3 linked regions of the Oryza sativa Japonica Group genome follow. The main gene of each other region encodes a partner of the protein of the gene in region 3 in a complex. Links are inferred from orthologs where the notes say so. Each region holds a gene or a part of one and is shown on either strand. Other genes may lie near its edges.

What was found.
Region 1: DNA-directed RNA polymerase II subunit RPB2 (region 3) and DNA-directed RNA polymerase II subunit 4 share a complex: the UniProt entries of both Arabidopsis thaliana proteins name them as parts of the RNA polymerase II complex. The link is inferred for Oryza sativa Japonica Group from reciprocal best matches to the Arabidopsis thaliana genes NRPB2 and NRPB4.
Region 2: DNA-directed RNA polymerase II subunit RPB2 (region 3) and DNA-directed RNA polymerase II subunit RPB7 share a complex: the UniProt entries of both Arabidopsis thaliana proteins name them as parts of the RNA polymerase II complex. The link is inferred for Oryza sativa Japonica Group from reciprocal best matches to the Arabidopsis thaliana genes NRPB2 and NRPB7.

Annotation. Positions count from the first base shown.
Region 1 is NC_089036.1:900,856-903,880, reverse strand, and holds DNA-directed RNA polymerase II subunit 4, read left to right. Parts: upstream 1-1,536; 5' UTR 1,537-1,626; coding exon 1,627-1,675; intron 1,676-1,752; coding exon 1,753-2,132; 3' UTR 2,133-2,420; downstream 2,421-3,025. Other genes in the region: protein LPA3, read right to left, coding at 1-55, 156-248, 543-573, 722-1,023. UniProt on the Arabidopsis thaliana protein: DNA-dependent RNA polymerase catalyzes the transcription of DNA into RNA using the four ribonucleoside triphosphates as substrates. Second largest component of RNA polymerase II which synthesizes mRNA precursors and many functional non-coding RNAs.
Region 2 is NC_089039.1:19,589,854-19,593,939, forward strand, and holds DNA-directed RNA polymerase II subunit RPB7, read right to left. Parts: upstream 2,675-4,086; 5' UTR 2,596-2,674; coding exon 2,480-2,595; intron 2,390-2,479; coding exon 2,224-2,389; intron 2,118-2,223; coding exon 2,067-2,117; intron 1,753-2,066; coding exon 1,687-1,752; intron 1,362-1,686; coding exon 1,293-1,361; intron 816-1,292; coding exon 750-815; 3' UTR 512-749; downstream 1-511. Other genes in the region: 1-(5-phosphoribosyl)-5-[(5-phosphoribosylamino)methylideneamino] imidazole-4-carboxamide isomerase, chloroplastic, read left to right, coding at 3,036-3,132, 3,232-3,287, 3,577-3,784. UniProt on the Arabidopsis thaliana protein: DNA-dependent RNA polymerase catalyzes the transcription of DNA into RNA using the four ribonucleoside triphosphates as substrates. Component of RNA polymerase II which synthesizes mRNA precursors and many functional non-coding RNAs.
Region 3 is NC_089037.1:25,903,858-25,906,944, reverse strand, and holds the end of DNA-directed RNA polymerase II subunit RPB2, read right to left. Parts: intron 3,015-3,087; coding exon 2,919-3,014; intron 2,813-2,918; coding exon 2,697-2,812; intron 2,624-2,696; coding exon 2,554-2,623; intron 2,475-2,553; coding exon 2,421-2,474; intron 2,343-2,420; coding exon 2,199-2,342; intron 2,108-2,198; coding exon 1,808-2,107; intron 1,625-1,807; coding exon 1,202-1,624; intron 1,089-1,201; coding exon 975-1,088; 3' UTR 535-974; downstream 1-534. UniProt on the Arabidopsis thaliana protein: DNA-dependent RNA polymerase catalyzes the transcription of DNA into RNA using the four ribonucleoside triphosphates as substrates. Second largest component of RNA polymerase II which synthesizes mRNA precursors and many functional non-coding RNAs.

The sequences.
Region 1 (3,025 bases), on a different chromosome or scaffold from region 3:
GAGCAGTCCCGAACAACTGGGATGCCCTGCGCTTTTCTGGTAGGTCAGGAAACACCTGGAATCAACTAGAAGATAATTTATGAGAAAAGATTTGCATATGCCCACAAATGCCAGAATGATTCTGGAGCAGGACAAGGCATGAAACTTGAACTTACAATACAAGATCTAGTCCCCTTGAGTTCCTTAAGTTTTCTGGCAACAGCAAGAGCAAGCTGGATGTTGGCGTCGATGAACTCGTCCGAGGAACCCTTGAAAACGAAGCAAAGCAGGGTAGGATGGTTAGAAACAAGCGTTCATCACACGTATGTGGCAACAAAAGCTAAACCCTTTTTAACTTGAAGCCAAGGAAAAAGAGAGATTCTGCTTTGAAACAACATTATACAGAGGTAGCAGCAGCATTCAAACTGAAACTAGAGCAGTCTATATAATATACATCAAGATTAGTCTTTGCATTGTTACAGAATTCACTCATAACAAAGCAAGAAACTAGAACAATGAGTGTGAGTTATGAGACGAGCTTGAGATAGAAATGCAAAGTATACCTTGTAAGAAGAGATGTTGCTCGGCAGAGGCCTTTTCACAAGCACCACCACCAAAAAAAAAAATGAGACAAGGAGGATGAGATAATGCAAGCATTATTAATAACCAACTAAGTAAAAGATTAGGCGAGATGGTGGCGCGAATCTATGGAGGAAAGGGAATGAATAGGTCGCGGGCGTACGGGAACTCGATCTCGAGGCGGGTCTTGCCCTCGTCCATGGCGCAGGCGAGGGAGCGGGCGGCGTCGGAGACGAGCACGTCGTAGGACCGCGGCTTGTACACCGACACCCCCGCCCTAAGCGCCTCCACGTCCCCGGCCTCGGCGCGCGGCGAGCACCGTGCCGCCCCACCACGCCGCCGCGGGAACGCCCCGAGCCGCGGGGCCACGACCGGCGGCGACTGGCCGCACAGGCGACTGCGCGCCGCGGGAGCGGGAGCGGGAGCGCGCGGGCGGAGGCCGGAGAGCGGCGCGGGTGTCGCCATGGCCACGCCGCCGACGACGACGAGTGGTGGAGAGGAGGAGACGAAGTGACGAGCAGCGCCACTGCAATCCACGCGGGCGCCTCGAGGCCACCACCTGCCTCACTGCCACGTGGAGCCCGCACCACCGCACCGGATAAATCCACCAAAAATAAATTAAAAAAAAGAGAGAAGTGAGGTGGAGGTGCGGGGAATCGAACCCCGTGCCTCTCGCATGCGAAGCGAGCGCTCTACCATATGAGCTACACCCCCGATGCTGATCTCCTCGGGAATCGAGCCCCTTCATATCCCCGCCGTCGCCGGGGAAGACGACACGCCCGCCGTCCTTGTCGCCGACCACTCGCCGCCGCCGTCGAGTAGTAAACGGATGGACGGTCCAGATCACCCCGAAAGGAACACGCTCGTGCAGATCGAGCCGGCCCAATGCGTTAATGGGCCTAGCCTGTTAGCGAATCGGATCGTGAGTCCAGCCCGTTAAGAGGCGCCTCTCGCCGCCTTGGTTTCTTTTCCCCTCCCGAGTCCAGACTCCGCCCGCAGCCGCATCGCCAACGCCATAGCCGCCGAGGTTGAGGTGAGCCACCGAGAGGGGAGAGAGAGCGCGCCGAGATGTCCGGCGAGGAGGAGGAGAACGCGGCGGAGCTCAAGATCGGGGAAGGTGAGTCCGTCCGAATCGGAATCGAGTAGAGGTATCGGTTTGATTTGATTTGATACCTAGGGTTTGATGGGTTGCAGAGTTCTTGAAGGCCAAGTGCCTGATGAACTGCGAGGTGGCGATAATCCTGGAGCACAAGTACGAGCAGATCCAGCACATGTCGGACGGGGACCCGTCGTCGCAGGTGTCGCAGGTGTTCGAGAAATCGCTGCAGTACGTGAAGCGGTTCAGCCGGTACAAGAACCCGGACGCGGTGAGGCAGGTGAGGGAGACGCTGAGCCGCTACGGCCTCGCCGAGTTCGAGCTCTGCACCCTCGGCAACCTCTGCCCCGACACCAGCGACGAGGCCTCCGCCCTCGTCCCCTCCCTCCGCTCCGGCGGCAGGTTCGTCGGCGACCCCGGCAGCGAGAAGATCGACAAGATGCTCAACGACCTCTCCCTTATCAAGAAGTTCGAGTAGTAGGACTGTAGCTTATCAGATTTGCTGGTGAACTGTCTAATTAATATCTGTGTTATCTTCTTGAGAGAAGGTGAATCATAATTAGGGCTCATTTGATTTGAATGCTCGTTGAGGTTTGTTCGATATCAAATCGATCCAAAGTTCTGCTGTGTATCAGTGTATCACCTTCAGGAGGAATGTAGTGAGATCATGAAAACCGAGATTAAGTCAATATCTATCTAGTGACTTTTGAAAAGAAAAAGGAGGTGAATTGGAGTACTGATTCATATAATCACTCCTTTTATCTTATGTTTGTCTTTCTGTTATGTATGATCTCTGGGAGTGATGTTTCCATTTTACTATCAGTTATTCATGTGTGATTTTAAAAAAAGGATTTTACCAGTATGTTATTGATTGAAACCGTTGCACAGGATGAAGAAAAAATTGTCCAGGAAACAACCCAGCCAGATTTTCTTTGTTCTGTTTGGTTTAAAAAGAGGTTACCTTACCACGTATTTGCAACAATTGAATGGTGTACTAATTTTTGTGTAGTTTTATTGACATGTGAAGACCAAACATGATTCCACTGTAATCGCTACGAGTAAAAAGGACTAAAGGGGTAAGAATTTCCGTAAAAACTTTGTTCTTCTATCTCACATCAGTGATGAACATCGGCACACATATACTCTGTACTGCACTGGTGATCCGGGAATCCGAATTGAGCCTCAACACCTCCTCAGCATGGTGGAGCTGCTTGTAGCTCACTGTGACAGATTGACATCCAAGTACAAGATAACAAGCACACAGCACAGAAAAAGGCAAGAAGCTTGCATCTTATATACTGCTCCATAGTTACTTACAAGTGACTCGTCTTCTTCTGACTTATATCTACTGAAACCAATCAAAAGACAATA
Region 2 (4,086 bases), on a different chromosome or scaffold from region 3:
AACGATGGTAACGATTGAATCGTCAGGAAGATCATTTTGGAAGATCATTTTGATCAAGTGTATGCACCGCAAGCCCCTTTGGAAGGAAGACTGAAAGGTTAACCTCTGGCTCTAACTTCTTTGCAGCCTTGCAGGTGAGTTGAGACTTATATATCCAAATAATTTTTGCTCTTTACCAATGTTTTATCTCCTGTCATCTGATTTCTGTTAATACCGCAGGAGCAGTGCCGTATGCAGATCCTTCATTGAAGGACCACGTGAGAATATTGAGTATAACTGCACAATCAAAGTATACTTCCTGTCTTCATTAGGAAGTGCCGTCAAGAACTTAAGTGGGGTGACCGCTGTGTTCTTGCTAACTTATTGTATCTGCCCTTAGCTTGATCCTAACATGAACAACTGACAGTGTAAACCTATCTTTTTTCATTAGCCCTTTCTTTCTCTTTAGTTTTATTTTGCAAGGATGCAGTTCGAAGCATTGAATGTTTAATTGCAAGGATACAGTGCAAAATTGTACAGTCCGTAAAAAGGTCAGAGTTTGATTAGTTAAATGACTGCTTGAAAGTTGAATCCCACAACACACTCAAGCAACAGTGCCAACTTGGTAAAGCGCCATTTATAGTGATGAAAATACAGGTTCCAACCCACTTACAGCCCCTTCCAGTGGGGCTTCCATATTTTAACACTACAATTCATCGGAATATTCCCGTTCAAGAGCATGAAGAGGCGTAATCTTGTCACCGGATAATTTACACTGCCGCACCAGGATCACTGATAACGCCCAGGAAGTCATCTTTTATTGTGCCAATGCAAAACTGCAACAAACATATTCAAACTGTTAGAGCATTGCACATCACCAGCTTAAACGGGGTTATGAGTTATGACAGCAAGAACATGGATTCAGAAATGCCTCAGGGAAGAATATAGCCACATGCATTCAACAATTATCTATTATGATACCATACTAGTGGCTAGCTTATGAGCATTCATGGTAATTACTTGCAATTTGTTGCTACAAGATTACATGTCAAATTTTCATTTTGATATACTTTTCAACTAATTTACTTGACACACATCAAGGTTGATCTTTGCTGATAAAACCACATCTGTTCTTTTTCACACATTAGGAAAGAAAAACATCATGCAAACTACTGGTATGGAAAAGTGGGTTACATCACCAATAATTGCATATGGTGGTTACTCTGAGAGCAATGCTACAAAAATCTAAAAGACAGGGAACACCTGGTTTTTCGTTTGTTTTTTTGCACGAAACTAGATGTCAACAAACTTACAATTTCTGTTGCATCAACACGTGTCCCAATAATCTTCAACCGAACCTCACTATCTTTCTGAATTTTCACCTGCATCGGACAAACAAGTAAATCCTAGTAAGCAAAAGAAGATGGCCAAAGCAATTAGCCTTCAACAGTAGTACAGTATTCACATCTATTCGTTTCTAGGAAAAACAATGAACATATATGTGTATGCATTTCAAGCATAGTTATGACATGCTGATACCAAAATTGGATACAATGGACATTACATTACATTCCCCAGCATTTCTTTTTAAGTCAGACATATCACCAATAAGCATAAATAAACAGGAAAAAAAATCATAACCTGTCAACAGTTGTCAATGTTTATAGAGGACAAGACATAAGAAGTAACTGTAGAAAAGAAGCATACCGATCCATCAGAAGTAGTATAATTTGGCACATCCCCAGATTGGAACTCCATATCATCAGGAATCAACTGCACAACAAAAATAGAAACGGGAAAATGCAAGAACAAAACATTAGTTGGTTAGAAAGCACAAATTCAACTAGAACCTTATGTTGCCTTCCAGTCACTTTAAGATTGTTCAAACCAACATGTTTGATAAATTAGTATCAGAAATTTCTATGACAAAAACCATCCTTCGAGTTGATGGTACAGCTAAACTGGGTGTATGAAAATGGTACTGAACCATTATCGTCTATCGATCATTCTAGCATAAATTCTGATTCTTTTACTCCACAAATTTGGAGCATTAGAAAAAAGCAGCTCCAAGCAATGCAGGCACTCACATGGTTGGACACGAAGATCTGCACAGGCCCAGCCTCCGCGAAGAACCCCATCTGCAGAACCAACACGAAAACGAATTGGAGCCACTAACCACAAACAAGCCCTAATCCACCCAACACCAAATACCAATCCGGCGAGGGACGGAGGCACATCGCCCACCTTGTTGACCATGGTGACGACGGCCTCCAGGATCTCGCCCTTGAAGGGGCGGAAGACGACGCACTGGTACTTGACCGGGAAGGTGACGTAGCCCGTGCCCTCCCTGATGAGCCCCTTGCCGACATCCTCCACCCCCGTGATCGCCACCACGAACCCATGCCGCCCGCTGCAAAAGGACGAACAAGAATGAATCCCGTCGAACCCCACATCCCCTCCCCGCCCTACTAGGGTTTGCCCAACCAATCCCGAGCCCTACCTGCAGGTGCCCTCGACGTCCTTGATGAGCTTGGAGACGAGCTTGTCGCGGAGGTGCGGGCCGAAGTGCCGCGGGTGCAGCTGCATGTTCCGCTCCAGCACGATGTGGAAGAACATCTCGCCCCCTCCTCGTCCGCGCCGCCGGCGAGCGAGCGAGCGAGCGAGCGATTCCTCAACAGTTCGACTCAACTGGCTTGGCTTCTCTCTCGCGAGAGGCAATATTATTAGCCCTGACGAGGCGTTCGAGCCGTCGGATCAACGCCCCTGTGCATATCCTGGCCGTCCAATAAATCTCTTTACCTAGTTCGGCTTGGGCCTCGCACCGACTCCGACTCCGACCCCGACTCCGACTCGCCGCCGCCCTTGCGCCGCCTCCGCGGAGCCCTCCCCTCCCCGCCGGCGGCGGCTGCGAAGGTGCGGCACGTACGCGCTGGTTTCTTCTTCTTCTCTCCGAATCGTGTCCTGGGTTGGGGGGGGGGGGGGCTCCCGCATGCTTGCTTGCTTCTGAATTTGCTTCGCGGGTGTTTGTTTGTTGGTTGTGGCAGCGACTGGATTGGATGGCATCGAGGGTTCCGTCTCCACCGTGCGCGGCGGCGCGGTCCGGTTGGGCTGTCCCGATGGTCTCCGTCCGGCCGGCGAGATCCGGCGTGGCGAGTATGATGTCCCTTTCGATTCGATTCTCTGTATGGCTCGATTTGTTACTGCTTGTCGCGAATTGGGGGAAAAACTGGGATTGCTCGTTTGTTTTGGCAGGAGGACGTGCTGTGGTGTGCGCCGTTATCTTCAGGCCGTGTATCGATATTCATAAGGTCCGTACGAGTGGAACACTTGCTTCCTCTTATGTTTCATGGGTGTTCTGAACATTAACATGATCGTAAATTGATACCCCAACTTTGTAAGCAAAGTACTTTCAGAAGTTTTTTCAGCTTGTATGCTCCAAATTTTCCTGCGATGCGATTCACCTGGAACACCGTGATATTAAAACTAAAGGCTTATGCATTGATTTCTACTGTCATTTTGCAACCATGTGAGTTCAGTTACTTCTGGCATTAACAGTGTCATTTATCTGATGGGCTGTTTCTTAATATAAATTTTCAGGGGAAAGTTAAACAGATTGTTGGCTCTACTCTTCGGGATTCATCAAACGATGGCACGGCACTTGTTACAAATTTTGAATCAGACAAACCTCCAGCAGAATTTGCAAATATATATAAAGAGGATGAACTTATTGGTGGACATGTAATCATGCTTGGTGCAGATCCTGCTAGTCAAGCTGCTGCCATGGAAGCACTACATGCATATCCTGGTGAGAATGTTATCTAGCTGTTACCTGTTAGCATAATTATGTTGTTATTTGGACTAGTTCTTTTGTGAGCAGCTGTCTGTAGTTGTTTGTTCTTTACTGTTATCAATAATAATTATGATATAAAGCCACATTTGTGACTATTGAATATATGGGTGCTTACAGTGTATATAATTTAATAAGTGCAGTGTTTGTTTTTATTTTCTAAAAAAAACTAGCTGATACAAAATATCATGTAGCTATTTGAGAGCAATGAAAAATACTTTGCCAAAATGCAACTCTAGGGGAAAAAACTTAATAACACT
Region 3 (3,087 bases):
TGATGATGCTGATGTACAATTTTGTGTTCCAAGTTTTGGGTGGCGAATGGAGTTTGATTTGGTTTACTAGAAGGAGAGAGATGTGGTGTTACTCATGGTGGTTGTACAAAAATTCAATTATATCTTGTTTGGCTCCGAATTGAATTCGATTCATTCAATTGGATTTTGGGCTATATGTTTTAGTGTGCAAGCTAATGATATTGGTTTGGATATCGTAGAAGCTACACTATTGATTCTTATGGGCTATTTGACACGTTTCATTGAAGGCGTACACATGATTGCTCCATTTCTTTGTGAAAAAGCGCACGATCTGAAACAATTACTCTGACCGTTCCTTTGTTTACAAACATGAATATGCGAACAGACTTAAAATTTCTTAAGCAAGGTGTTGTTATTAGCCACAGAAATACTTTGAAACATGAAACAGTTAGTGTGTACTAATTGTACCATTTAAAACTAGACTCTGAACATCGAAGTACATCCAGGCCTCAGTAGAAAAAATGTAATTGAGGCTAATTCATGACGCACCCGACAGAAAGCTAGCAGTAGTTAACACTAAATTATTACTATTTTCTTACAAGATCTCTCATCAAACAATTTTGATATCGTGCTGGTAGAGCCAATACAGGCAATATTCGAGTTGGGATCTAGTATCCCCAAAAGCCAAAAAAAAATAAAAAAGAAACAGTACAAACAACAACATTTTAGTCCCGGTAAAAGATTGTTCAGTACAGTCCCTTAATCCGTATCCCTAGTATACAAGAAACAAAATTTCTTTGCACCACTTCGCCCATGGCGTCAATTTGGCATAATCCAAGGGCACAGCACACCAGGGATATATATAACTCGAGGATGTGGCCTACTGACTGCTTTCTGCCTCAGGGGGTCAGACCGCTAAGCCCAAGTTAGATTTAAGTATTGACTATGAACGAAGACATAGTACGACAAGCGAGTGCCCCATGTAATATTTGGTCTCAACGTTTCTTCTGATCCTTCCCAGTTTTGTTATCCTGAGTGAGCATCCTGGGAGCGATGGCCATCGCCATAAGCTCCTGGAACAGAAGCTTACACGCGTAGGGTATATGCACCTGTCAGTAGGTAGCAGTGTAATTCCCGTTATTGCCATAGTAGTTATTACTTCTATAAATAGGCTTTAGATTCATAGTAATTAACAGTACAGAGAAGAAGGAATTATACTTACTTGGACAATGTCGGTTTTGTTCTTGCACCCTCTGCACTCAAAGGAATTCTTCTTGAGATTAGCAATAGCAATAAGCCCACACTTCTCGCATACATGGACTCTGTACGCATCACTCTGGTCAAATAACCTTTCCTTAAGGAAAAATGCAGCGCCATGAGCAATCATACAGTCCCTCTCCATCTCTCCAAACCGGAGACCACCATCGCGTGAGCGCCCCTCTGCAGGTTGTCTGGTAAGTATCTGCACAGGACCACGGCCTCTAGAGTGAATCTTGTCATCCACCATGTGCTTAAGTCTCTGGTAATAAGTAGGACCAAGGAAAATCATGGCAGTTAATTTTCTTCCAGTGTGACCGTTGTACATGGTCTCGAATCCACGCATCTGATAACCACATTTATGAAGTGCTTTGCTGATGTTATCCACCTGAAATTTATGTAACAAATTCAGATTATTGCAGGTTTGAACAATAAAAGAAAAAGTGATTGATTATCACATAATCTTGGGACTATAACTAGATTATAACTGATTGCAGTAAGCTAGGGGTTGAACATTTTCTTAAAAACAAGTAGAATATAATCAAGACTAAGTCTATAAAAGATTACTCACAGTAACATCAGTGAAAGGAGTTGCATCTCCTTCTTTTCCCATGTGAGCAGCAACTTTACCCATAATACACTCAATCAGTTGACCAATAGTCATACGGGATGGAATAGCATGTGGATTCACAATAATATCAGGTGTGATGCCTTCAATAGTCCATGGCATGTCCTCTTGTGTATAAGTCATTCCCACAGTTCCTTTCTGACCATGCCTACTACTAAACTTATCCCCAATCTGTGGTATACGAACTGATCGCATTCTAACCTTAACAAATCTTAAACCATCAGCATTTGTTGTTAGGAGAACCTGCACAAAAGATAGTAGACTTAGAAGTCTGTTGATTTCAGTGTCATAACACAGCACAGAAACATAAGAGGCGGCGGAGGGAATAACAGACCTGATCCACCATCCCACTTTCACTGTGGCGCAGCGAAGTACTGTGATCACGCTTTGTGTATCTAGTAGCTTGCCCTTGGGCATCATCTTGTGGAATAGGAGATGTCTTCCCAATAATGACATCTTCACCAGATACCCTTGTACCCTGATACATGAATATATATCAGCACATCTATTATGTCGCCATGATAAAGAAAAGCCTACAATAATGTTCTCTACTTACTGGTGGTGCAAGTCCATCATCATCTAGTTTATCATATGACCCATGACGCATTCCCTGCAAGGAAAATTTCAAAAAACATTAGTTCATAAGACCGACAAAGATAAAATCTTCAATGAATCTAGGGGAGCATTACCATAGTATTCTCCCTATTTGGACGGCCAAACTCCTCTTTGACAAGAGTCCCCATCTTCTTTTCCTCATCTCTGCATATGAAGGACTGTCAGGCTACAAGCATTGGATGGAACTTATAAAGTATACAGTGTAATGTCTTCATACCTGTATGAGCGGAAAAACAGAGATCGGAAGAATCCACGATCTATTGAAGATTGGTTCATAATAACCGAATCTTCTTGATTATATCCAGAGTAGCATGCAATAGCAACAATTGCATTCTTCCCAAATCATCAAAGCAAGGTATTAGTAATTACATCACAAAACAAATGCAGAACATGAAGAGAAAGCAAACAAGGTGTCCCGCGGTTAAGATTGTTCACTTACAATGCCAGCTGGTAACTGTCTGAAGTGCAAATGTTCCATAGCACGAGTAGTAACAAGAGGCTTTTGTGGGTAGTATAGCACATAGGCCAATGTGTCCTGAATACAAAGTTGGATGTTTAAGAATCAAATCTATACGAACAGACCAAGAAAGCAGACAGATGGCACACTC